Elephas maximus indicus: one gene and its partners. The protein of the gene in region 3 purifies or fractionates together with the protein of the main gene of each other region. This does not show direct contact. Links are inferred from orthologs where the notes say so. Each region holds a gene or a part of one and is shown on either strand. Other genes may lie near its edges. The genes, in order: TSC22D1, TSC22D2 and NRBP1.

What was found.
Region 1: the proteins of NRBP1 (region 3) and TSC22D1 purify together in Homo sapiens (affinity purification with mass spectrometry; 6 studies listed by BioGRID and IntAct, with this or other methods). This does not show direct contact. The link is inferred for Elephas maximus indicus from reciprocal best matches to the Homo sapiens genes NRBP1 and TSC22D1.
Region 2: the proteins of NRBP1 (region 3) and TSC22D2 purify together in Homo sapiens (affinity purification with mass spectrometry; 5 studies listed by BioGRID and IntAct, with this or other methods). This does not show direct contact. The link is inferred for Elephas maximus indicus from reciprocal best matches to the Homo sapiens genes NRBP1 and TSC22D2.

Annotation. Positions count from the first base shown.
Region 1 is NC_064832.1:35,811,557-35,819,066, reverse strand, and holds the start of TSC22D1 (TSC22 domain family protein 1), read right to left. Parts: upstream 3,159-7,510; 5' UTR 3,041-3,158; coding exon of another isoform or gene 3,031-3,040; 5' UTR 2,841-3,030; coding exon 1-2,840. Other genes in the region: uncharacterized protein LOC126057991, read left to right, coding at 3,031-3,040, 3,159-3,900, 6,782-6,833. UniProt on the Homo sapiens protein: Transcriptional repressor. Acts on the C-type natriuretic peptide (CNP) promoter. Acts to promote CASP3-mediated apoptosis.
Region 2 is NC_064841.1:9,524,618-9,532,810, forward strand, and holds the start of TSC22D2 (TSC22 domain family protein 2), read right to left. Parts: upstream 3,263-8,193; 5' UTR 3,174-3,262; coding exon 1,723-3,173; intron 1-1,722. UniProt on the Homo sapiens protein: Reduces the level of nuclear PKM isoform M2 which results in repression of cyclin CCND1 transcription and reduced cell growth.
Region 3 is NC_064830.1:45,926,772-45,934,111, reverse strand, and holds the start of NRBP1 (nuclear receptor-binding protein), read right to left. Parts: upstream 3,145-7,340; 5' UTR 3,028-3,144; intron 415-3,027; exon of another isoform or gene 410-414; 5' UTR 390-409; coding exon 180-389; intron 1-179. UniProt on the Homo sapiens protein: Required for embryonic development. Plays a role in intestinal epithelial cell fate and proliferation, thereby involved in the architectural development of the intestine potentially via the regulation of Wnt-responsive genes.

The DNA of each region.
Region 1 (7,510 bases), on a different chromosome or scaffold from region 3:
GTCGTCAGCGGTAGCACCTTCAACGGGAAAAGAGAAGCAGAGGCTGCTAGGCTGCTGCTACTCCCATCTGAAACTGCTGACATTCCCCCACTGTCACCACTGATAGTCTGAGGTAAGCCAACTAAGGAGGGTTCCACTGGGCGCCTGGCATCTTCAATTTGGCTTCCAATTGCCTGAGCTAATGATTGTGCAGAGAACTGAGCAGAACTCGGTGTTATTTGTTGTGCCAAGGGCAAATTTATATTAGTTGTTATCAAGGGAGGTTGACTAACACTCTGAACCAAATTACCATTTTGGGTGACAGGGGTTTGTGCTATATTCTGCGGTGGAACCAAGTTTGCTGGGGCAGAAGACATTGCGGAAGGAACAGTTGAGCTAACCTGATTCGTAACAGAAATACTACTAGCAGAGGGCAAAGGACTAACTGCGGGCAATTGCTGTGGAACACCTCCTTGAGCTACCGACTCTACTCCTTGTGGCTGGGGAGGCACAGTTAACAAGGTACTCTGGGGTGCAATAACCAATTGTTGAGGAAGGCTTGAAGCACTAGCTTGAACTCCCTGATGAAGAATCCCAGTTTGAGCAGGTGGAACTACTTGTGAAGACGGAGGAGCACCTTGCTGAATAACTGAAGGTGTGACTTGAGTAGAGGGCTTCTGCACTGCAGTAGGTACATTCGCCTGCTGACCAATATTTGCAATCTGACCACTAGTAGGTACAGCAGCCACTGCTGTCTGAGCCTGGCCAGTGGGCTGGGCAGATGCCCCTGCAGGCTGTGCTTGGACTAGAGTGGACTGCACTGGCGGCTGGATACCCTGCGGCTGAGCCACAGGAATCACTGCTGCTCCTGCTCCCACTGCTGCAGAAGCGGGCTGTCCGGCGGACACTGCCGTCTGAAGAATCGGCTGCTGCTGTACATGTATATACTCTGAAGGAGGATTCTGAGTCACTGATTTCCCAGGGCCTGGGGCCATGTGTGTAGAAACAGCCGGTTGCTGTTGTCCATATTGTAACTGTTGAGGTGGTGCCCCTGGAAGGGGAGTTTGCACTGGAGGAGTGCTCTGAGAATACGGCAGGTGGGGCTGAGCCAAACTGGACATGGAAGGCTGCTGACCTAAAGCTGAAGTCACACCAACCACATTCACAGGCGATGGCTGGATACCAGTTGCAGCACTGATAGTGGCTTGCAGAGGTACCGGTTGAAGACCTTGCTTTTGCTGATAGCTCAGTTCCTGAGACTGCATCTGTGAATGGGAAACGCTCTGCGGTATACTAGCTGCTGGAATACTCTGCGGACCAGTGCTACCAAAATCCATTTGTTGAGGGGCCACACCTTGAAGAGCTGGTTGCTGCTGCTGCGCCACCATAGTCGGGGTTCCCATCTCTCCACTTCCCACACTCTCTGTGTAGTGACTCAGTGTGCTGACGCTACTGCTCACTGAACTCCCACTAGTGCTCTCCCTCTCAGAAGTCACTTCCATGGGGTTTTGTTTTACAGTCTCCACCACTTTATTTATCACACCTTCTGTAGCAGGTACAGCACTTTCTTTTTCATAGAACTCAGTACAAGTCCATCTACCTTTCTTAAAAGGTTCAGAACTGGTATCTAACTTCACAACTCTGAACCTTGATGTGTTAACTGCTGGTTGTTGCTGCTGACTTAAAACCGATCCCACAGTCATCCCTGTGGCTGCATTAGGGACACTGTTAACAATAGCAGAGGAAGAAACAGTACCATTGCCCATGCCACTCAAGATATTCACATTAACACCCCTGCTAGCTCCAGGTCCAACACTCACACTAGCAGCACTAGGGATACTGCTTGTATTCACATTAGCATTACCAAGCATGCTGCCTGTCACATTAGGAGTAATACTACCCACAGCAGAAATGTTAACGTTATTCACTGTACCAGTGCCGGTCACAGAACTTATACCTATACTGCCAGGAGTGCTGGGAGTGCGGATAGTAGTCATTACAGTTGCAGGTGAGCCACCGGATGATATAGCAGAAGTTGGTGCAGCTGGTATTACACTCTCAGAGCTCCCAGCTGTGCAGAGTTTTCTGGATACTGGGCTTGAGGGTGGCCCTGCAGGAATGGATGCACTGGCCACACCAGCATGGGCAGGATGGTGGTGCCCATGGTGGAGGTGGTGTCCATGATGAATGTGGTGGTGGTGATGGAGGTGGTGTGGATGGGCATTCCCATTGATCACAACATTCTGTTGTGGAAGATGTGGCAAAAGAGGCTGAGGAAGGTGAGGCTGGTTGGGAGAGACTGCCCCAGGTGTCTCCGCTTCCTGGAAGTTATTGAGAGTCTCTTCTGAGGAGCTACGTTCTGGTTCCCCTAAGTCAGTAGCCCTGGAAAGTGACACATCAAGGATCTCGGAAGAAGACAAATCTTCCGTGTGCGATTCATCCAGATCATCGTAACTCTCCGTGTCCTCTGCTATGCTGTTGTTGGAGCTGATACTGGCGGAGATCTGAGCCGGAGTAACGCTAGTTATCTGGAAGCCACTCTTCTTTTTCATTTGCGTTCCTCCTGGCGCAAGAGGCTGTGCCTGCAGCTGCGTCTGGGAAAGGAGGTTGAGGCTTTGTGGAGGCGGAGGCGGAGGCTGTGGTCCCGTCGTGGAAGATGCTGCAGGAGGCGGCGGCTGGAGTAGCGACGGAGGCGGAAAATCCTCCGAAGATGTGGCATTACTCCCCACGCCGGTACCTGCTGCGCTGAGAGCAGAGGCGCTGCCACTGCCGCTGCCCCTCCGAGGGAACACAGCCGGGTGCGCCATCTTCCTCGCACTAATGTCTGCAGCGGCGGCGGCCGACTCAGGCGGCTGGTGCATTGTGTCGGGTACCGGGGGGCGGAGGAGCCGAGTGCAATTTCCTTCTGCACCGTAATCTTTGTACTGAAGAGCCGGAGAGGAAAACGGGACTGACGCTCTGCCGGGCGCGATTCCTCCTCCTCCTCCTCCTCAGCCGAAGGCACCGGGGCCGGTCGCTACTGCCTTCGAGGGCGAGCTTCGGGAAGGGAGGATGAACGAGGGTGAACAGGGCGGCCGGGGTCCCGAAGGGAGCCCCCTTCAGTCCTTCGCCATTCACTCTCCCCTCTACTCTCACACCCCCCCCCCCCTTTATTCTGCTTCACGTGGGGTGCGGGGCAGGCGGGAGAGGAGGGGAAGGGAGAGGGGAACCGAGAAATGCCCACCTCCTCCGGCCAACTCAGAAGCCACCTCAGCCCCCTCCTCCCGGCGCGGCGGCGGCGGCTCTGCAACACCCTCCCGCCTTCCCCTCGCCACCCCCGGCGCCGCCGCCGGCGAGCCCCGAGCTCAGTGCCGCTCAAACCTCCCCGCCCGGCCCCGCCGGCCCCGCCGCGCCCTCCCCCCACGCCCCGCGGACCCTTTCAAACCCCCTGGGCTCGCGGCGGCTGCTCCGGGAGGAAACGCTGGCCGCGGCTGGGGCGGCGAGGCTCGGAGCGGGGCGGCGGCGGGGCGCCCGGTACGGTGAGCCCCGCAACGAGGCGCGGGCGGGGGCGCAGAGACGCCGGGTCCTCGCGGAGCACGGCCGGGTCGCGGCGGCGGCGGTGGCAGCGGGAGCCCAGGGACCGCTCCATCACTGGCAGCCATGGAGCCCGAGCATTTTCCTCCCTCAGGGCAGGCGCCTCGGCTCGGCACACGTCCTCGGGGAGGAAGGGGCCGGCGCCCGAGGCTCCCCGGAGGGCGGCGGGACGTGCGCTGGAGCGGAGGGCTGTGCGCCTCGCTTGTCGTCGTCTCCGCAGCCGGCTCGTCTTCACCCCGCTGCTCCCGCGGCCCAGGCGGCGGCGGCGGCGGCTCCTTTCTCGGCGGCGTTGGTGGCCAGACGGGCTGGTGCAGCGACTGCAGCCGACGCCGTTCAAAGGAACGAGAGGTGGGGTTGGCCGGTGTTGGTAAACGGGGCGGGTGAGTGGGTGGGTGTTGAGGGAGGGTGTCGGGCGGGGAGGGGGCTCTGGTGGCTAACAGTGCCCTTCTCCGGCTCCCCCGGCTCCCCCGTATCCCCCAGTCTCTCGCGGCATTGGGAGAGGAGGGACCAGCGCCCGAGCGCAGGAGGAGGAGGGGCGACTGCCGGCGAGAGGAGGAGGCGGTGGCGACGGGGGGAGGGGGCAAGGAAAGGGGACGGAGGAAAGATGGCGTCTGCGCATGCGCCCCAGCGCCTCAGACATAAAGCCTCGTCTGGCCGGCGAGGAGGCGGCGGGTCTTCGGGCCTTGCCGAACGCGGTCTCGACACGGAAATTGCCGAAGGCTGGCGGAGGCGCCGACGCCTGGGGTGTTGGGGGTGGGGAATTTCAGCCGAGGGAGCGGATCCGGGTCGGACTGTGGGATTCTGAGTGGGGGTGGGGCAGGCTGAGGGGCGCGGGCCGCGCGCGCCAGGTTGGGCGTGTCCGCTCTCCTCGCGCGCGGCGGGCGCGCGGGCGCGCGGCAGAGGAGGGGGCGCCGCGGCGAGGGGCGAGGCTCGCGGAGGGTGCTGGAGCCCCGGTCTCGGGTGTGCGCGCCCTGGGTGGTGTCCCCGCCTGCGGAATGGGTAATGAGGCTTTTCTCCGCAGCAACAGCATCACGAGTTGAGTTCCCAGGAGCCCGCCGCCGCCGTCACGAAATGAGTCAGGCTTTCTTCTGGGCCCGCGGCGGAGCCCTGCTCTTCTTGCCGCACCTGGGCTCGCCCCGGGCCGGTCCTGCCCTTGTCCCCTCGGGAGACACCACAGCGCCGGGAGTTGCGGCGTCCGCGCAGGGCCGGTGGCTCCCGGCGATAGGTGTTGCCTTTTGTGCAGTGCAAAAAAAGAAAGAAAAGTGGCTGCCATGCGGTCCCCTCAGCCTTCGACGGCCAAGGGCGAGCCTGCCGGGCAGATGTTGCAGATGTTGGCAGTTAACTACCTAAGGTCCACGGGGTAGACTCTTGTCTAGAGGGAGTGGTTGTGCCCTCCTGACCTGGAGGGAAGCAGCCCAGCCCAGTGAACTGACCTCAACAGGTGGAGCTTGTTCTCAGCCTTAGTGCCTTTTGGTTTAATTGTCCAGGTTGTGGCCTCCATGGGTTTGACTTAAAAGGCATGGTGGGAACACAAGTGGAAACATAAATGAAGAATGCCACTTAGGGCTAAAAAAAAAAAAAAAAAGCCATCTGAAATTCCACTTTGGGGGGAAAAAAATACTTGCCATGGGTTCGAACGTATTTTTACAGAAGCAGAGTCAGGTTTGGCGGGAGGCAATTTACTGGAAGTCGCCCGCCTGGCATTACATGACATTTTAGCGCTAAGCATTTCTACTACTACTCGCCCTGGAATTAAAAACAATTACAAAATAAGCTAAAGAACCCAGGAGAGAATTTTTTAAGTTATTTATTTGTTTTAATTTAGGTTGTTGGGGGCGTAAACGTTTATTGATTCAGGAAACCTGACGGACTCACAGATCCACAATGCTATTCAGAAGATTGTTAAAGCATAATCAATTGTCTTCTACAGGTTTTCGATAGAACACTTAGTTCAACGTGAACTTTTTCTTCATTCCATCCCTCAGAAAGTTAACAATGTCACGATTGTCTTACATTGTTGAATAGAAATGCTTCCTCAACATCCCTTGTCTACCCTGTATCAAAACTGTAATATATTGTTGCTTTATCTGCGGTCTCTCCACTCAAAAAAAAAAAAAATTTTTTTTATTTCTCCACTGAATCCAAAAGGCCTGACTGTATTTTTGGATGTCAAATTGCTAATGGAATCTGTGTGCTAGGTACGAAGTAGGAGATTACAAATACTGAAAGTGAAGTGATAAAAGTCAAATACATTTGAAAAGATAATACTTTGCTTTATGATATTCATGAGTTTATACATGAATATACTTGCATTTTTAGATAGCTGTGGCCTTTTGGGAAACCCTGATGGTGTAGTGGTTAACTGCTATGGCTGCTGACCAAGAGCTCTGCAGTTCGAATCCACCAGGTGCTCCTTGGAAACTCCATGGGGCAGTTTTTCTCTGCCCTATAGGGTTGCTATGAGTCATAATCAACCCGAAGGCAGTGGGTTTGGGGTTTTTTTGTGTTTTTTTTTTTTTTTTTCCTATGGCCTTTTGCGTATTTTACAAAAATAATCATTTCTTTTTTAATCTGTCAGCAGCTTTTGTTGGGAGTGATATGCCTGGCTACTGGCTGCCATTCATTGTCAAAATGCAAATCTGACAAGCTTTTTCAACAGTTTTTGAAAGGAAAATAGAAACTATCCTCACCACTTGAATGTAGATGGGCAGAATGCAGTCTCTTCGGACTACAGTGTGAGAGGAAGAAAATGCTCTTAATCTCTCAAAATGTTGTCTCAGGTCAAAGTTTTAAACTACCCCAAACAGCAGCTCCCTAGGCCACCTAAATGCCCGCTAGGATTGTGCTGGTATGGTTTGAAGAAGAAGAAACACGTAAAATATGTTAAAATCTCACCCAAAGTTGAAGAATGAATAAGTTGTTGAGACAATCCTGTAGAAGATGATACTTAATTCTAATAACCATTAACAAACAGTATTGCGGATTTGTCTATTTTGTTGGGAGAGGGGTGTTAGTTCTTTCAAAAAATTTTTCATTTTGTTTTACTTTTCCAGGACATAAGAAAACATTGTTTTTCAAATGTATTTAATTTTTTGTCTGCCATATCATTTTCAAACCTCTTTTTGGGCTGCATCAGGTCCCACTAAGATATAAAGCGTAACTGTGCAATTAAGGAAATAGGACCTTGAACAATGTGCCTCTCTCTCTCTCTTGTTCTCACTCTCTCCAGTTGCCAACGTTTCAATGACCAGCAATACGTGAACACAAATACATCAAAATAAGCAGAAGCACCTGAACAGCCAGGAGTTGGTATCATGTGTTACCTTGTAATAAAAAAGTCAGGGTATTTTTACGTGAATATTAAATGCCTACTGCTAAGTGTGATAAAGGAGCCCCTGAGTGGTGCACACAGTTACTGACACCAAAAGGTTGGTGGTTCAAGTTCACCCAGAGGCACCACAGATGAAAGGCCTGGCAATCTACTGAAAAAGCAGTCACTGAAAACTCTATGGAGTACAATTCTACTGTGACACATACGGGGTCACCAGGACTCAGAGTCAACTCAGCGGCAACTGGTTGTGTGTAATAAAGTCATCGAATCCTTTGAACCCAGGCTTTTAGTTGTCATTACCATTGAAAGACTGAATTTCAACTGTTAAGTTCTGAGGTCGTATCTCTGAATTACCTCTCTCTTAATTTAAGATTAGCTGTATTACAATGCTCACTTAAACCTGTTTATTGCCATATTGCAAACCAGCATGTATATTTAGCTCTGTTTAGTGTTTATTGTGTCATAAAATAGAAAATTTACCTATTTGCAAAAACTGCAATAAGCAGTGGTGGCACAGTGGTTAAGAGCTTGGCTGCTAACCAAAAGGTCAGCAGTTCAAATCCACCAGGCGCTCCTTGGAAACTCTATGGGGCAGTTCTACTCTGTCCTACAGGGGCGCTATGAGTC
Region 2 (8,193 bases), on a different chromosome or scaffold from region 3:
TGTCATCACATTAAAGTTCTGGGGAGTGTAATTTACTTATGCTGTAAATTCAGAGATGTGGTGAAGAGGAGGGACAGTCACAGTTATGTGTGTGGGGGTGGGGGAGGAAGAGGTTGGGAAACCAGCCATCCTTTCTTGATGAGAGATGAGGGCAGTGTACAGGAGCAGAAAGGTAAGCAAATGGTTATTTACTAAACCATGAAAAAAAAATTGGCTTCCGGCAGCTAGAAAAGGGAAGTTGCCTGCTACCACCAAAGGTGATAAAATAACCTAAATCTACATTCTGGGCATGCCCCTGTGTGTGAAGAGTGAAATATGGAAGCAGCTATAAAAGAACTGAGGGATTTTTTTTTTTTCTGAGTAGCTTTTTTTTTCTTTTACTTGGTAGCAGTGACTAGCTAGCTGAGCTCACTCCTGGACTTGTGGTATCTCTAAGAGTTCTAAAATGGAAGAAGACTCCCCACAACCAAGGCACCTACAAAAAAAGATGAGCTCTTGATTACAAAAAGCAGAGATGAGGAATTTCGGTGAGCATTTTTCAAACCAACAGAACCATGTAACAAATCCAAAGCTAATTAGAACAGAAAGAAAAGCATGTGAAGGAACTCAGAAGAGAAAGTCTGAACAGATTTCACCATCCTCCTCTGCACACCACTGATTCCAGAGATCCATAAAACAGTTTCGACCCTTGAACACATTTAAAATTAACCTCTCTCTCAAAACTAAAACCCCGGCAAATAAACGTCAAATATCTGAAACTTTCTCTGTAATTTTTAGCATTTCAAAGCTTGGTGACAACTCCGTTTTAAAAATTTGTTATACACAGTCTGCCAAATTTTCATGAGACATTTCCTCAAAGCCGCTAAAAATCCTCATTAAACCGTAACCAAACATCAGCTGCTGTGGAACCCATGTGACAATACAGCGATTTTCACTTAACCACAGACAACTGCTGGCATTTACACTTTTACTCTAAAATCACTCCAATTTCAAAAAAGGACAGCTCTTACTGGTGTTGAGACTAAGGCCACACCTCCCTCGGAGAGCGGAGAATAATGGCAGCTCAGAACATCCTCCTGTCCGTCTTTCGCCTAACGAACCAGACCAACAGACCATGGCAGCCTGGAGAGGTCCCTGGGAGGCCGCCTGGCCGCCTCCTCCCTTTTAATACAGGGCTGAAAAGGAAGCAGGCTCTTCAGAGCTGGCCTGGCCGTTTCATCGCTCTCTCTCCGGCCTCTGCAGACCCTGGACAAGGCTCCTTATGCGGATCTTTGCTGCTAGAGCTGCTGCTGGCGTTCCAGAACGGGAAACTTTTCCAAATAACTTCATCCCTCAGTCTGCAGCTCACACTGACAAACATGCCACCCGTGTTCCAGTGCGACTGACGCCTGAGAAAGGGACAACCCTAGAGAGCGTAGCCGGCTACTCCCCTACACTGAATCAGCAATGCTGCGCTCTGCCCGTTTCAGTGCTCGGAACGACTCGGCCGGCCAATGCGCCATGACGCAGCTTTACGTGGGCCACCTAAACCCAATCTCCTCCCGGGGACTGGTGAGGCGACTTTGCTAAACACAAACCACTTGGTATCAAAAATAAATAAACGAATAAATAAACCAAAAAGCCCGGGGTTCCCACTGGAAACAGACACCCGCCCAAGCGGGGTGCTAAGCGGCAGTGCTCGGCAAGCAGTCTAGCAAACACGCAGAAGGGACTGCTCCATACCTGTCCTCGTCGCCGTCCACAGGAATCGCTATGCTGAAGACAGAGGTGGCCAGGCTGTTCATGGGTGTCAACTGGAGGGCGTGCGCCGGGGCCTCGGGCCCGGGGGGCTTGCCGACAGGCTTGTTTTCAGCGAGGAGAGCGAGCGGCGCTTGAGGTAGGGGTTCCGACTTCCTTCTGGCCTCGTCCACCGGCCCGGCGGCCGGCGGGCCCTGCGCCTGGAACTGGCTGAGGTCGGCCTGCGGCAGGCTGCCGGGGGCGCCGGGCACGAGGGGCAGCGCGCCGTGCGCGGGGACATTTGGCATAGGAGCAGAAGTGCTGGGCGCACTAGGCACGCTGGGGGCGGGCGCGGCCGCGGGCACGGCGGGCACCCCGGGCACCAGGGCGTGGGGCCCGGCAGGCACGACCGCCGCCGGCCCGGGGCCCCCCATCTGCGGCGGGGGCGCGGGCAGGCCCAGGCCCGGCGGCACCACGCCTCCCGCGGCGGCCTGGGCGGCGGCGGCCGGCGGGCCCGGGGCGTCTGCGGCCTGGGCGGCGGGCGGCCCGGGGGCCGGCGCGGCGGGGCCGGGCGGCGGCAGGTAGTCGCCGGGGCCGGCGGGCAGGCCGGGCAGCAGGTGCGCCGTTGGCGGCGGCGCGGCGTAGGCGAACGGCGGCGCCAGGCCGGGCGCCCCGGGCCCCGGGGTCGGGCCGGGCCCCGGGGTCGGGCCGGGCAGAGGCGGCGGCGGCGGGCCCGGCTGGCTGGGCTTCTCGGGCGGCGGCGGCGGCTGGGTGACCGCGGGCACCGAGCTGTCAGCGGCCGCCTCGGGCCCGGGCGCCCCCTGCACGGAGGCCACCACCACCACCACCGACCCCGCGGTGGCGCCCAGGCCGCTGTCGCGCTCGGCCGTGGGCTCCAAGGTGCTGCTGTGGCGGATGCAGTCCCCGGAGCGCGTGAGCACGCTGCTGTCCGAGTCGCGCTCGTAGTACTCCACGCACGTCCATCGGCCGCGCCGGTAGGGCTCGCCGCTGCCGTGGTCCAGCTTGATCACGCGGAAGCGCGAGCTGCACGCGGCGGCGCCAGGCGGCGGCGGCGGCGGCGCTGCGGCGGCCGGGGCGGGAGGCGCGGGGGTGGCCGGCGCCCCGAGCGCGCTCCGGGCCGCCCCTCCGTTGGCGGGCGCCACCGCGGCGGCCGCCAGCTGCCCGTCCAGCAGGAGGTTCGGGGAGACGGTCCCGGGCGTCTCGGCGTCGCCGACGTTGTTGAGCGTCTCCTCCGAGGAGCTGCGCTCGCAGACCTCCTCGGGGCCGTAGTCCGTGGCCCGGGAGACGTCGAAGATCTCGGAGGAGACGTCTTCGGTGCGGGACTCGTCCGGGTCGTCCAGGCTCTCGGTGTCCTCGGTGATGCTCGTGGCCACCTGGGCCGTGGTGACACTGGTGATCTGGAAGCAGCTCTTCTTCTTGGCCGGCATCTTGGACATGGTGAGGCGGCTGCGGCCCGCGACGGAGCCGCCGGGAACCGGGAAGGGCCGGGCTCTGGGGCCGCCGCGCCGCCGCTCAGGCTCTGCCCCCGGCCGCTCGGGGCCGCATCCTCCGCGCGCTTCCTCCGCAGTCGCTGCCTGGGCCTCGCGCGGCTCCTCCTTCCTCTGCGCCGCCCGCAGCCGCGGCGCCTCGATTCGGCGCCCTCAGCGGCGGCGAGGGCGCGCGCAGGGGCGGGCCGGCGGCTTCCTCCCGGCCCCGGCCCCGCGGTCAGCAGGCCTCGGCCGGCGGGCGCGCGAGGCGAGGAGGGGCGGCGTGAGGGGCGGCGCCGGCTCCGCTCTCGGACGCTGAGGGGCGCAGGCGGAGGGGCGCGGGGCCGGGCCGGGTGGCTGGCTCCGCCCGGCCGGCGGCCCTCCCTCCCCGGCTCTAGCCGGAGCTCGGCCGCGGGGACATGTCGACCGTCCCTGGCGGAAGCCCGCTCCGGGGGAGGGGAGAGCCGGCTCGGTCCTCCCCTTAGGGGGGAGCCGCCCCGCGGGCGGGCAGGCGGGCGGGCGGCGGTCTCGGCCTCCCCTCGCGGCTCTGGAGAGAGGGGCGGCGGCGGCGGGAGCGCTGGCCGGCGAGCGGAGGCGCTCGGGCCGTGGGAGGGAGCGGCGGCGTCTTCTCCGGCCTCCCCTCGGTGCGCTCTCGGTGCGCGGACTCTGGAGAAACTCAGATTCAAAACTGCTCAAGCGGCGGCTGCAGCTCCCTCTCCTCGGCCAAGATGGGGCTGAGATGGCCGCGCCGAGGATGCTGGGAGGAGCAGCAGCAGCCCCGCCGCCACCGCCGCCGCCGCCGCTGCTGCCGCCGACTAAAATGCCGCGGCTGCCGCAGCCACCGCCGGCTCCGCAGCCGCCGCCGTTCCCTGACGCACCGACGTCGTGACGTCACCGCCCCGCCCCCTCCGGTTTCCTGCGGAGTTTCGCGTGGAGGCCGGGCGGGGGGGGCGGGGCTAAGGGTGAAAAGGGGGAGCGGTTTCCTTATTTTAAATTTTTAAAATTTAAATTTGGGGCTGGAGGTCCTTTAAGAGTTGAAGAGTGGGCGCTCCTAGAAATAGCAGGCCTTAGAGAAGCTTACAGTTCCGTTAATGGAACGTCTTTGTATCGGTTCGTGCCGAGACACTGGAAGATGCGAGGTCATGGGCTGTGTCTATAATACTTAGCAAAATCTCCCTGAAAGGAGGGCGATAGGGACGGGGGTTGGGATTTAGTGGAGATAAAGAGGAGGACGGCTGGAGGAATCGAGTCACTTAAATCTGTGCTGAAGATAAATGTGGACACTATAGTCAGAAGTGATATGTCGAGAGACGTGGGGAGGATTAGCTAAAAATTGCAAGCCAAACTGAGTCAGAAAAATCGTCTTTCAGCCAAAAGTTCTGTCTCCAACAATGGCATCAGGGAATAGTTAACTTGCCCAGGGTGAGGTCAGTTTAAAAAAAGGCTAGGGGTTACCAACATATTCCCAATATTCCTGAATTTCCTGTGATTTCAACATTGGAGACCACACTTAAACTCTTGAGACTGTTTTTACTTGCAGCACGAAATCAGCTTATGGGCTCCATAAATGCAGAACCTACTGCGTTAAATAGTTAAGAGTTCTTCCTTTTGTTTATTCTAAAACCCTTAGCTGGATACAGAGTGTTGTATGATTTGGATTGGGCTATGAACAGCCACAACGAGTCAGAGAGCACTCTTTCCTATCCCAGTAGGGAGAACAGCTATGAAATTACTGGCGATTTTTATCTTCTTTTAGCTACTTTCTGGTAAAGGAAGAAAATGGTAAGGCCATTATTTTGCACAGTTAAAAAATGAGGGCTGAGGGAAGCAGAGGTCTTGAACTTTGACCTACTAATGCAGCCATCATTTAGATAAAATATAAGAAGTCTTGCAAGAAATCAAGATTTTATATTTGTTACATCTTCAGCAGTCCCATCATGATTTACATCAACAGCTAAAAAATTCATAAAATTGTTACATGCAGTTCTCTAATCTTTGAAGAATAGAAATACTCTTTCTCCCACAGGATGTTTTGAGAATTAAAATTTATAAAGATTTTTTTTTTTTAGGTCCTTGGTTGTAAATAAGTTCTAGAGATATGTCTTTTAGCTTTGCTGTTGTTGTTGTTAGGTGCCGTCGAGTCGATTCCAACTCATAGCGACCCTACGGGCAACGGAACAAAACACTGCCCGGTCCTGCGCCATCCTTACAATCCTTGTTACGCTTGAGCTCATTGTTGCAGCCACTGTGTTAATCCACCTCATTGAGGGCCTTCCTCCTTTCTGCTGACCCTGTACTCTGCCAAGCATGATGTCTTTCTCCAGGGACTGATCCCTCCTGACCACATGTCCAAAGTATGTAAGATGCAGTCTCGCCATCCTTGCTTCTAAGGAGCATTCCAGTTGTACTTCTTCTAAGACAGATTTGTTCGTTCTTTTGGCTGTCCATGGTATATTCAATATTCTTTGCCAAGACCACATCTTTTAGCCTTAGTAGAAACCATGTCCTCCAAATCCTAGTGACTGAGGTCAAGATGTAAAATAAGACCACATAATAACATCCCTGTTTCTTAAGGGGGTGGGAGGGAGTAAAGGAACCAAGTGTAACATTATGCTGCTCTTGTGGCAGAGATAGCTCATGGAATGTTTCGTTTCTAAATCCGTCATTTCAGTCATTGTAAGAGACAGTTCTCCATCAATAAGTTAGTTCAACTGGTTAAATCTAATATGAACTTATAAAAGCTTAATTTAACTTTGGATCGATTTATTAGATTATGAAAAATAGTTATCAATGGGTGGTATTGAGCCTAGGGCTTTTGGAAAAATATCTTAAGTCTGCTTGTCTCATGACATGAACTTGTTACATAACTTCTTGAATACTTGTGATGTTAATCTGCAATCACACATTTAAGGGAAAATCTTCAAATAATCTATAAGACTGTTTCTCCTCAGAAGAACTAAATGGTGCTGGGCCACAACCGATGACTGCCCTGACAGGGTACACAACGGAGAACCCCTGAGGGAGCAGGAGACCAGTGGGATGCAGACCCCAAATTCTAGTAAAAAGACCAGACTTAATAGTCTGACTGAGACTAGAAGGACCCTGGTGGTAATGTCCCCCAGACCTTCTGTTAGCCCAGGACAGGAACCATTCCCAAAGCCAACTCTTCAGACAGGGATTGGACTAAACAACGGGATAGAAAAAGACGTTGGTGAAGAATGAGCTTCTTGGATCAAGTAGACACATGAGACTATGTTGTCATCTCCTATCTGGAGGGGAGATGAGAGGGCAGAGGGGGTTAGAAGCTGGTGGAATGGACACAAAAAGAGAGTGGAGGGAAGGAGCGGGCTATTTCATTCGGGTGAGAGCAATTAGGAGTATATAGCAAGGAGTATATAAATTTTTGTGTGAAAGACTGCCTTGATTTGTAAACTTTCACTTAAAGCACAATAAAAATTAAAAAAAAAAAAAAAAGACTTTCTCCTTAGACACAAAGGATTTATTATGAAATTAAAGTGTGGATAAAGATCATTTAGAAGAGATCAAGAAGTAGGCTATATTCCTTGTAAGGACAGGGTTAAAGGTGTTAAAAACATCTTAGGGGGGAAAAATAAGATTCATAAAATTAAAGCGTTTCATTTAGATTATAAAGATTTGTGTGTATATGTGCTTAGCCTTGACAATGTTCTCCAACAGTTTTAAACGCCTTAGCTGCATTTTATACATTTGCCCTTAAAAGAATATAGAGAATTTATTGTATAAAACTGCTAAGATGATTAGAATGTTGGTTGTTGCAAAAAAATTTGAAATCATTGTACAGAGGACAAATATGACATAACCCATGGCTGTTGAGTTGATTCTGACCTATAGCAACCCTTAGGACAGAGTAGAACTGCCCCATAGGTTTTCCAAGGCGCTGCTGGTAGATCCAAACTGCCAACCTTTTGGTTAGCAGCCATAGCCCTTAACCACTACACCACCAGGGCTCCAAGTACAATATAACTATCATCAAACTACAAAATCTGTGTTTACTCATAGTTGATTCACAAAGGATTAAAAGCCTTCAAATAGCTAAAGTGATTGAAGACGGGATATATGTGCAAATGCGTAAGCTCAGTGTGTGATGAGTTGATGATACGCAAAATGGTAGCCTAGAGTTAATAGCTCAACTCCCTAGAACGGGAGAGATCCCTGGAGACCCAAGTCTCAAAGCTAAGGGTCTTAATGCAGTTATCGTGGCTCCATACCTGTACCCAGAAACCAAAGGTAGGGACTGTGGAACCCTCAATGACTGCTCTCAGGGCCCCAGTTTGACTGTTTGTCCTACGCTTGGTATTTCCCTCAAAGATTTCAAATTGTAGCAATGTATGGTAAGTACATTTAGGTAGAACAATGCAGAAAAAGAAAAAAAAAAAAAAACTTAGCAACTAAGGATTATTTTCACTGATGGAAAAAGCTGCTGTAGCAAGATCCTTTCATCATTTGTAAGCATTTACCCCAAATTCTACTGGGTTATTATTATTTAATGGCAGCAGTACCAGGTGGTAGTTTCATAGTCACAAGATACTGGAAGTTGAACTGCAGAAACCGCCTCCCCCCGCCAAAAAAAAAAAAACAGGATCCACCCCCTCATCCCCCAGGAATGCATATTAATATTTAAAATAATAAAGATACATTAATTTAAACATTCTGGGATACAAGCAAAGAGAATCAGACTTTCTGTAGAAATCAAGCAATTGCCTAAGCTAAGAGAACGAACCTTTCAGAATTAACACTATCAGTCAGTCCCCATGTATATTAGGAAACTTGAACCCCAGCTAATAAGTTTGTCTGGGATTTCGAAGTAGCTTATGTTTATTTTCTGTTTTTATCGCCAAATTGTTTTAAACATACGAAATGCAGAAATGGTTTTAGAAATAAATATCCATTGTCTGAATAAGTAGTATTTGATTTATTATTATGATTTTCTTGAGATTACGTTTCTGGAACA
Region 3 (7,340 bases):
GAAATTCAAATGAAAAGAAAGTAAAGTTACCTCATGAACCCTCCATTTCAATACTCCATTTGATCATCTTTTCTTAGCCCCCAGCCTGTTGAAGTTTGGTCTGCCCCTTTGAGACTTTTGCCCCTCTAGTTCTCACCTTAGAATTCATTCTCCCAAGAGTGCCGTTACCACCGCCTTACCTCTTCTCGCCTCTTCTGCCAGCGACCACAAGGTGACTCTTCCAAGATCTCAGACTCATCTTCACTTTCTTCTTCCTCCTCTGGGGAGGCAGCTGAAGTTGTGGAGGTCACGGGAGGTGACACTGACGTCAGGCCAGGAGCTGAGGATGAGGATTCTACCTTTGCATCTGAGCCACTGCTGAGTACCGTCTGGGACTCCCCCTCCGACATGCTGGAAGGAACACTCAGTCCTGCACTGGTTGGGCAAGGAGGGAAGGGGAAGGTAGAAGGTATCAAGACAGATCTATAAAAATAATCCTAATAACCTTATTTGAAAGAAAATTAAAAAAAAAAACCTCCTTTGTTTCCAAAATGAGAATTAATGCTGCTTGAATATTCAAACATTAACTATTCTCCTAAGACTAGTCTAGAGAAGAGGAGGAAGTATAACCCCACCTAGTAAGATCCAAGTAAACAGCAAAAATATTCATCCAATAGCCTTTCCTTTCAGAGCACCCAAGTTCAGAACAGATGAGTGTGAACTCTAAAATGTTCTACTGATCTAACACTTAGGCTGACTTTATCCAGCTGAAACTCTTAGTTGATTTACCCAGCTAGAACTAAACTTGGCATTCACTATCCATCCTCCTAGACACAGAACAAGCCTACCAATCCATGGTGAGGCTATCCTTGGTCCAAGTGACTGGCAGAGGTTAGTGACCTCACCCCTAATGACCTTAAAAATGTGAGTGTGGCTAATGAGTACTGGTTAGCAACATTTTTTTTTCATTCATTCATGCAACAAATGTTTATTAAGCACTTATCATGGGCCAAGCACTGGGCTATCTGCTTGAGATATAATAGTGAACAAAATAAATGAGATCCCCCGAACGCATGTAGTCACAAATTCAAAGCAGTTCTAAGACTTTGTTTCCAGTTTCCATTTCATTCACATGGCTTAAACATTCCTAAGTTTCCATGCTTTGGGGCATTGAATCTGACAAATAACTTAAGATACAGCCTTTGTAAAAGAAAGTACTGTATAGTATAAAATTTCTCAGAACATGGCTGAGAAAAAGAACTCTTAGAAAAGAATTCTAAGAAAAAGAATCCTTAAAAGCGAAATGTCACTAACTTCCAGAAAGTCAAAAGACAGTCACTGAATGTTATTCCCTATCTCTAAGAACAAAGGCTGTGAAGGAGTTGGAACCTGTGTGTGCTGGGTCAAGGCAATGCTCTTTAGTATAAAACTGATATTCTGAAAAGTAAATTTGCTCCTCTTAGTTCAGAATGCCAGGAGCCTCCAAGCAACACCAATATTTTGAAAAGTCCACATTTCTTTTTTAGAACTCTGTGATGCCCACTTCTGCCCACCCATACCCCCAACTCACACTATATTCAACCCAAGTCCAGAAATTTCTATTAGATGAAATTCTAGTAAACACCAAGAAGCAACAAGGCAGTACAGAGAAAATCTGGTAAGATACTCTTTCTCCATGTTATTTTCTAAGTCCTGGCTTCCCAAAGAGATTTCACTCAGCCAAGCCGCGAAACCACGCCTTAATAATCTACCAGAGATCATTCTCCTTCTTCCCATGAAAAGTAGCTAAGAAAATGGATAAGAAAGTTTGTATCGGTTAATTTCTAGAGCAACTATAATCAATGAATGCATCTGGTATGTGGAACAGCTAAGAAAAATTTCCAGCTAGATTATAATAGGAAATATCAGTGGAATTCAGGAGCCCAGGTGTCGCAGTGGTTAAAGTGCTGGGCCGCTAACCAAGAGTCCACGCTTCAAACCCACCAGGGCACAAACAACTACTAATCGACAGTAGGGCACCACAAGAGAAGAGGAGCTTTCATCAAAGAGATGCCCTTAAAATGTGCTTGTCCCTTCCCTCCCCAGTCTTTTCCCAGTAGCGGTTAAGAGCTTGGCTGCTAACCAAAAGGTTGGCAGTTCGAATCCACCAACCGCTCCTTGGAAACCCTATGGGGCAGCTCTACTTGGTTCTCCAGGGTCACTAAGAGTCGGAATCCACTCAACTGCAACGGGTTTGTTTTTTTGTTAGTGTTTGGCCTGTGACAGGCACTCGAATGAATGTCTGTTGAATTTACGCCCATAGGGGAATCTCCTCGCTGCCTCCAGTCACCTCAAGATGCACAGTATGTTCACTTCTGAGCAGTGTAGGTCGTCCCGCTAAGTTTTTCTCAGAGACTTTCATTTACTGAACTGTCGCCCCTCTGTGTTTCAACTCCTCAGCAACAGCTCGCAGGCCCGGGCCTCTCCTGAGCTGACCAAAAAGGTCCGAGACCCGCAAAACTGTCCAGTCAGAAATAAAGCAAGCTCTAGAGAAGAAGAGGCCCTCCGAATTTCGCATTCCAACAGGTCGCCCTGCCCGGTGTCTGGAACAGCGCGGCCCGCAGGCCCCAAAGTGCGCTGCGGCCACCTCATCAAAGGCCAGCGGGCTGGCGGGCGGCGCCGTCAGGGCGGAGGCCACGCCCCCGCGCAGCCAGCGCGCCGGCCGCAGCGCTTCCGCAGGCCGCCGGGCCCGCACCGCCCGCCCGCCCCGCCCCCGCCCGTCGGCCCCGCCCTCGTCAGCCAGAGTTCGAAGCGAACGTCAGGGCCCTCCCGACCCGCGCGGGCGGAATTCCGGGCCGCCTCCACTCCGAGGAGGTTGAGGAGGGCCAGGCAGGGACTGTGGGGCAGAGGCGGCCCCCGGGCTCAGGCGGGCCGGCCCGGGCTTCCGAGTGAGCAAGGCCGCCTTCAGGCACCCGCCTGCCGGGGTCCAACGCCCTGGGGCTCGGAAGCCGATCCTTTCGTCCCCTTGCCGACCTCCCACCCGATTCCCTCGTTCCCTTCTGCGCTCACCTCCGGACACCGCTCCCCGCAGCCTGCGCTTCAGCTCCAGCTCGGGTTCCGGGGCCCCGGATCAGAGAGACTCCCTCACAGCTGCGCTCCACAGCGCAACCGAACTACGGGCCCCGCCCTCGCGGCGTCCTGACCAACAGATGGGCGGTGCCGCACTGCCTTAGGTTTCCATTGGACAAGACGGCTGAGTGGGCGGTGCCCAGTTTAGAGGGTCAGTGGGAGGGAGTCTTCAACCGGGCCTCTTCCCCTTGAGCCGGTCTGGCGGGGGCCGCTCGGGGAGTTCGGCCTTTTCCATTCCACCTGGGGACCTCTTCTCTGTCCACCCCTGTACCCAGTCCAGGAACCCCCGGTGATTCTGCTAGACAAAGATCTCCCCTGTCTTCTTGAAGGCGCCATGACAGTTCTAATCCGACCAAAAGACAAAAGGAGCGAAAGTCTGAGAGGAGCGTCCACCCACTTTATTTAGGGATGAGGCAGTGGCCAGGACACCAATTCCTCAGAAAGCTTTAGGAAAAAAAAAAAAATCACTACGCTTTGTGATTGCATAGTACTGTTATTTGCCAAAACTTTGCAAGAGCATTTCATAAATGTTATTTGATGATTTTCAGAAGAACTCATTGAAATTTTATCATTGATAGTCGACAAATACAAAAATAAAAACTGAATAAAAGGCACTAAACTATCCAAAGTTAGGTTGATGACAGCCAAAACCAGAATCTGAAATAAGATTCACCGAAGAAGACCTCATTGAGAAGATATTTGGAGAACTTAGATTGGGTGAGGTGTAAAAAATGGATTTTGGGTGAACCCATTGATCCCAGAAAAGTATATGCAGAGCCTAAAGGATGGAAGTTCAATTTGCCATTAGACATATACACCGGAGGGGAGAAGATAAGCCAATCACCAGAATTTGGGAATGTCATAATCACCAAATTTCACTGTCCTAAAGAGAATCTAATCCTACTTCAGAGGAGCCCTGGTGGCTCAAATAGTTAAGCACTAGCCTGCTAACTAAAAGGTTGGCAGTTGGAACCCGCCCAGTGGTTCCAAAGGAGAAACACCTGGTCATCTTTACCTAGCGGCTAGTAGGAGAAACGCCTGGCTCTGGCAATCTGTTTCCGTCAAGATCAAAACCAAAAGGGGTAGTTCCAATCTGTCACATGGGGTCACTATGAGTCGTTATTGACTCGATGGCACCTAACAACAATCCTACTTCATCGAGAGGATAATCCTTTCCCAACCTGTGGGAAATATATTGCTCACTTACATAGTCTGCCTCTGAGGTTTCTTGGGAAACTTTTCTCGCAGTGTGTGCTGCTGCAAGGTGAGGACCTATATAATTGCTTGAAATGGAAGAAATGAGTGTGTGCCACAAATTACTCCTTTTACAGGGTATTGTATGAAGTGCTGAATCAATACTTTTGGTAGGTAAAAGATGGATTTTGATTTTAAAAAATTATTTGGAACACATATGTCCCTCTGGACACTGAGGGTAGGATTGGTGGGGTGAGGCAATAAAAAATTCATACTGCTGAAAAATTCAGACACACTCAATGATTCAGCATGCATTCCATTTAAAATTCAAAGCAGAAAATAATTAGGCCTTGAAAGGGATAACTTGCAGAAGCCATCTCATTTTCTTATCTCTTCACCTCAAAGTATTTATTTCTAAAACCAATCTTTCACCCTTCCTTAATTCTTTTATCTTTGAAAGAGAGGGCTCAAACACACTTTTTAGAAATCTGATGAAAGATATGGGCTGCCTTTTGGATTTTTTTTTTTTTTTTTTTAATGCACTTGCCCACTAAGTTTAGCATATAATTTCAGGGAGTTGAGATTAAGAATCTTTGTTCTAATCTCAAAGGAAAAGATGTACCTACCTCTTCCCAGCTTAACTTCTTCTCCCTGTGGGTTCTAACACAATTGAAATGCCTGGCCCATGGTAGGTATTTATTAAATGTCAGTTGATGTAATCATTATAGTTTCCCATTCTCTTCCATCTGGGACCTTAGAATTATCAACCTTTCCCTTTGAACTACCTTCTTCTTTCCAATATGCACAGAGGACCCTTTGGCATACTCATGCTTTCATCTTATTTTTAAACTTTCATTCACATTTAACATGCTCAGATAGAAGATGGCGGAATAGCCAGATGCTTCCTGCGTTCCATCTTACAACAAAGACCCGAAAAATCAAGTGAAACAATTATGACAAGCTAGGAGCCCTGAACATCAAAGGCAAGGTTAGAAAATGGACCAAGTGGCAGGTGGAGAGTGAGACCATTCAGAAGCAGACAGGAGTTGCCGGACCTGAATGTCTGAGATCCCTCAGGCACCATTCCTGGAAGTGGCTGTGGCGGGCTGGTTGTAGTGTTCTGCCGCAGTTTCCTCAGGGAGAAATAGCCAGCCGCACAGCCTACTCACACCTCTGGAACCAGAGAAAAATGGTGCTCTCGGCAAAATCTAAGTACTTGCGTATATTTTACAGCACCCCCCACCCCCAAGCTGGCTTCAGTGGCTGTTGATTTCCCTGGGCCTGAGATAGGCCCATTTGAACGCCCTGAGCCATGCTCCTGGACTTGGAGAAGGAATAAATTCACAACAGGGGGAAAAGATAATTTGCCAGCTCCACTAACCTGGGGAGCTCAGGACAGAAGCAGCTCATGTCCAAGCATAAATGGTCTGTGGACATTGAATACCTTTCCCCCCTGGATGGACCTGTGTGGGCCTATTCCAGAAGAATAGGCCCTTACTGGCAGATTGTGACTGTTTAACCTGTGCAGTGGAGAGGTGGATGTTTGTTATTTGACATGGCTTTGCCTATTAAACAGGGTCCTCACCTACAAACATCAGGGGCCTAAGGACTGGTGGCTCCTCTCAAGTCACCCAGCCACCCATGACAGGGGTCCATGGATAACTGGTACCTCCTAGTCCTTACAACCAAAAGCATTGGGTGCCCATGGTCCATCTGCAGAACCCACCCACCTGCACGCTCTAGGGAAGAGGGACATGCTCTCCTCAGAGACACTCGGGACACTTCTCAGCCCCCTGCCTTGTTCAGAGCATGACCCCCTGCTGCAACCAGATACTGGTACCTACACCGAACACCCCTGCCCCTCTAAGACTATAGGACAGAGCCTGTACCACACACTTGATGACCAGCTACCTGGACACCTGAGCTGAATTCACACAAGAAAAGTGAATGGACTCATAATCTCATATACCTGATAACAGCTCTAGCCATCTGGTGACAGGATGTCAGAGGTCCAAAGGCGAAAACAGTCAAGCTAGCTCACTCAAGCAAGCCATTTGGGCATAACAAAACAAAACAAAGCAAGAAACTAGGATACAGTAAGCAAACATAAAATAAACTAAAACAATAACTTATAGATGGCTTGGAGACAACAGTCAATATCAAACCACATAAAGAAACACACCATGATCACGTCAACAAGCTCTCAAAACAGAGAATCAAAGGATCTTCTGGATAAAGATGCCTTCCTGGAATTACCAGATGCAGAATTCAAAAGATTAATATACGGAACTATTCAAGACATAAGGAAGGAGATCAGGCAATACACAGAACAAGCCAAGGAACACACAGATAAAACAGTTGAAGAAATTAAAAAGGTTCTTCAAGAACATAATGAAAAATTTAATAAACTGCAAGAATCCATAGAGAGACACCAATTGGAAATTCAGAAGATTAACAATAAAATTACAAAATTAGACAACTCGATAGAAAGGCAGAGGAGCAGAATCAAGCAAGCAGAAGGCAGAATTGGGGACCTTGAAGGTAAAGGACTTGGCACCAATATACTTGAAGGAAAATCAGATAAAAGAATTTTAAAAAATGAAAAAAACATAAGAATAATGTGGGACTCTATCAAGAGAAATAACCTACAAGTGATTGGAGTACCAGAACAGGGAGGGATAACAGAAAATCAGAGAGAGTTGTTGAAGATTTGTTGGCAGAAAACTTCCCTGATATCGTGAAAGATGAGAAGATATCTATCCAAGATGCTCATCGAACTCCACATAATGTAGATTTTAAAAGAAAGTCACCAAGACATTAAAATCAAATTTGCCAAAACCAAAGATAGAGAATTTTAAGAGCAGCTAGGGATAAGCGAAAAGTCACCTGCAAAAGGACAGTCAATAAGAATAAGCTCGGACTACTCGGCAGAAACCATGCAGGCGAGAAGGCAATGGGACGACTTATATAAAGTTTTGAAGGAAAAAAACTGCCAGCCAACAATTATATATCCAACAAAATTGTCTCTCAAATATGAAGGTGAAATGAGGACATTTCCA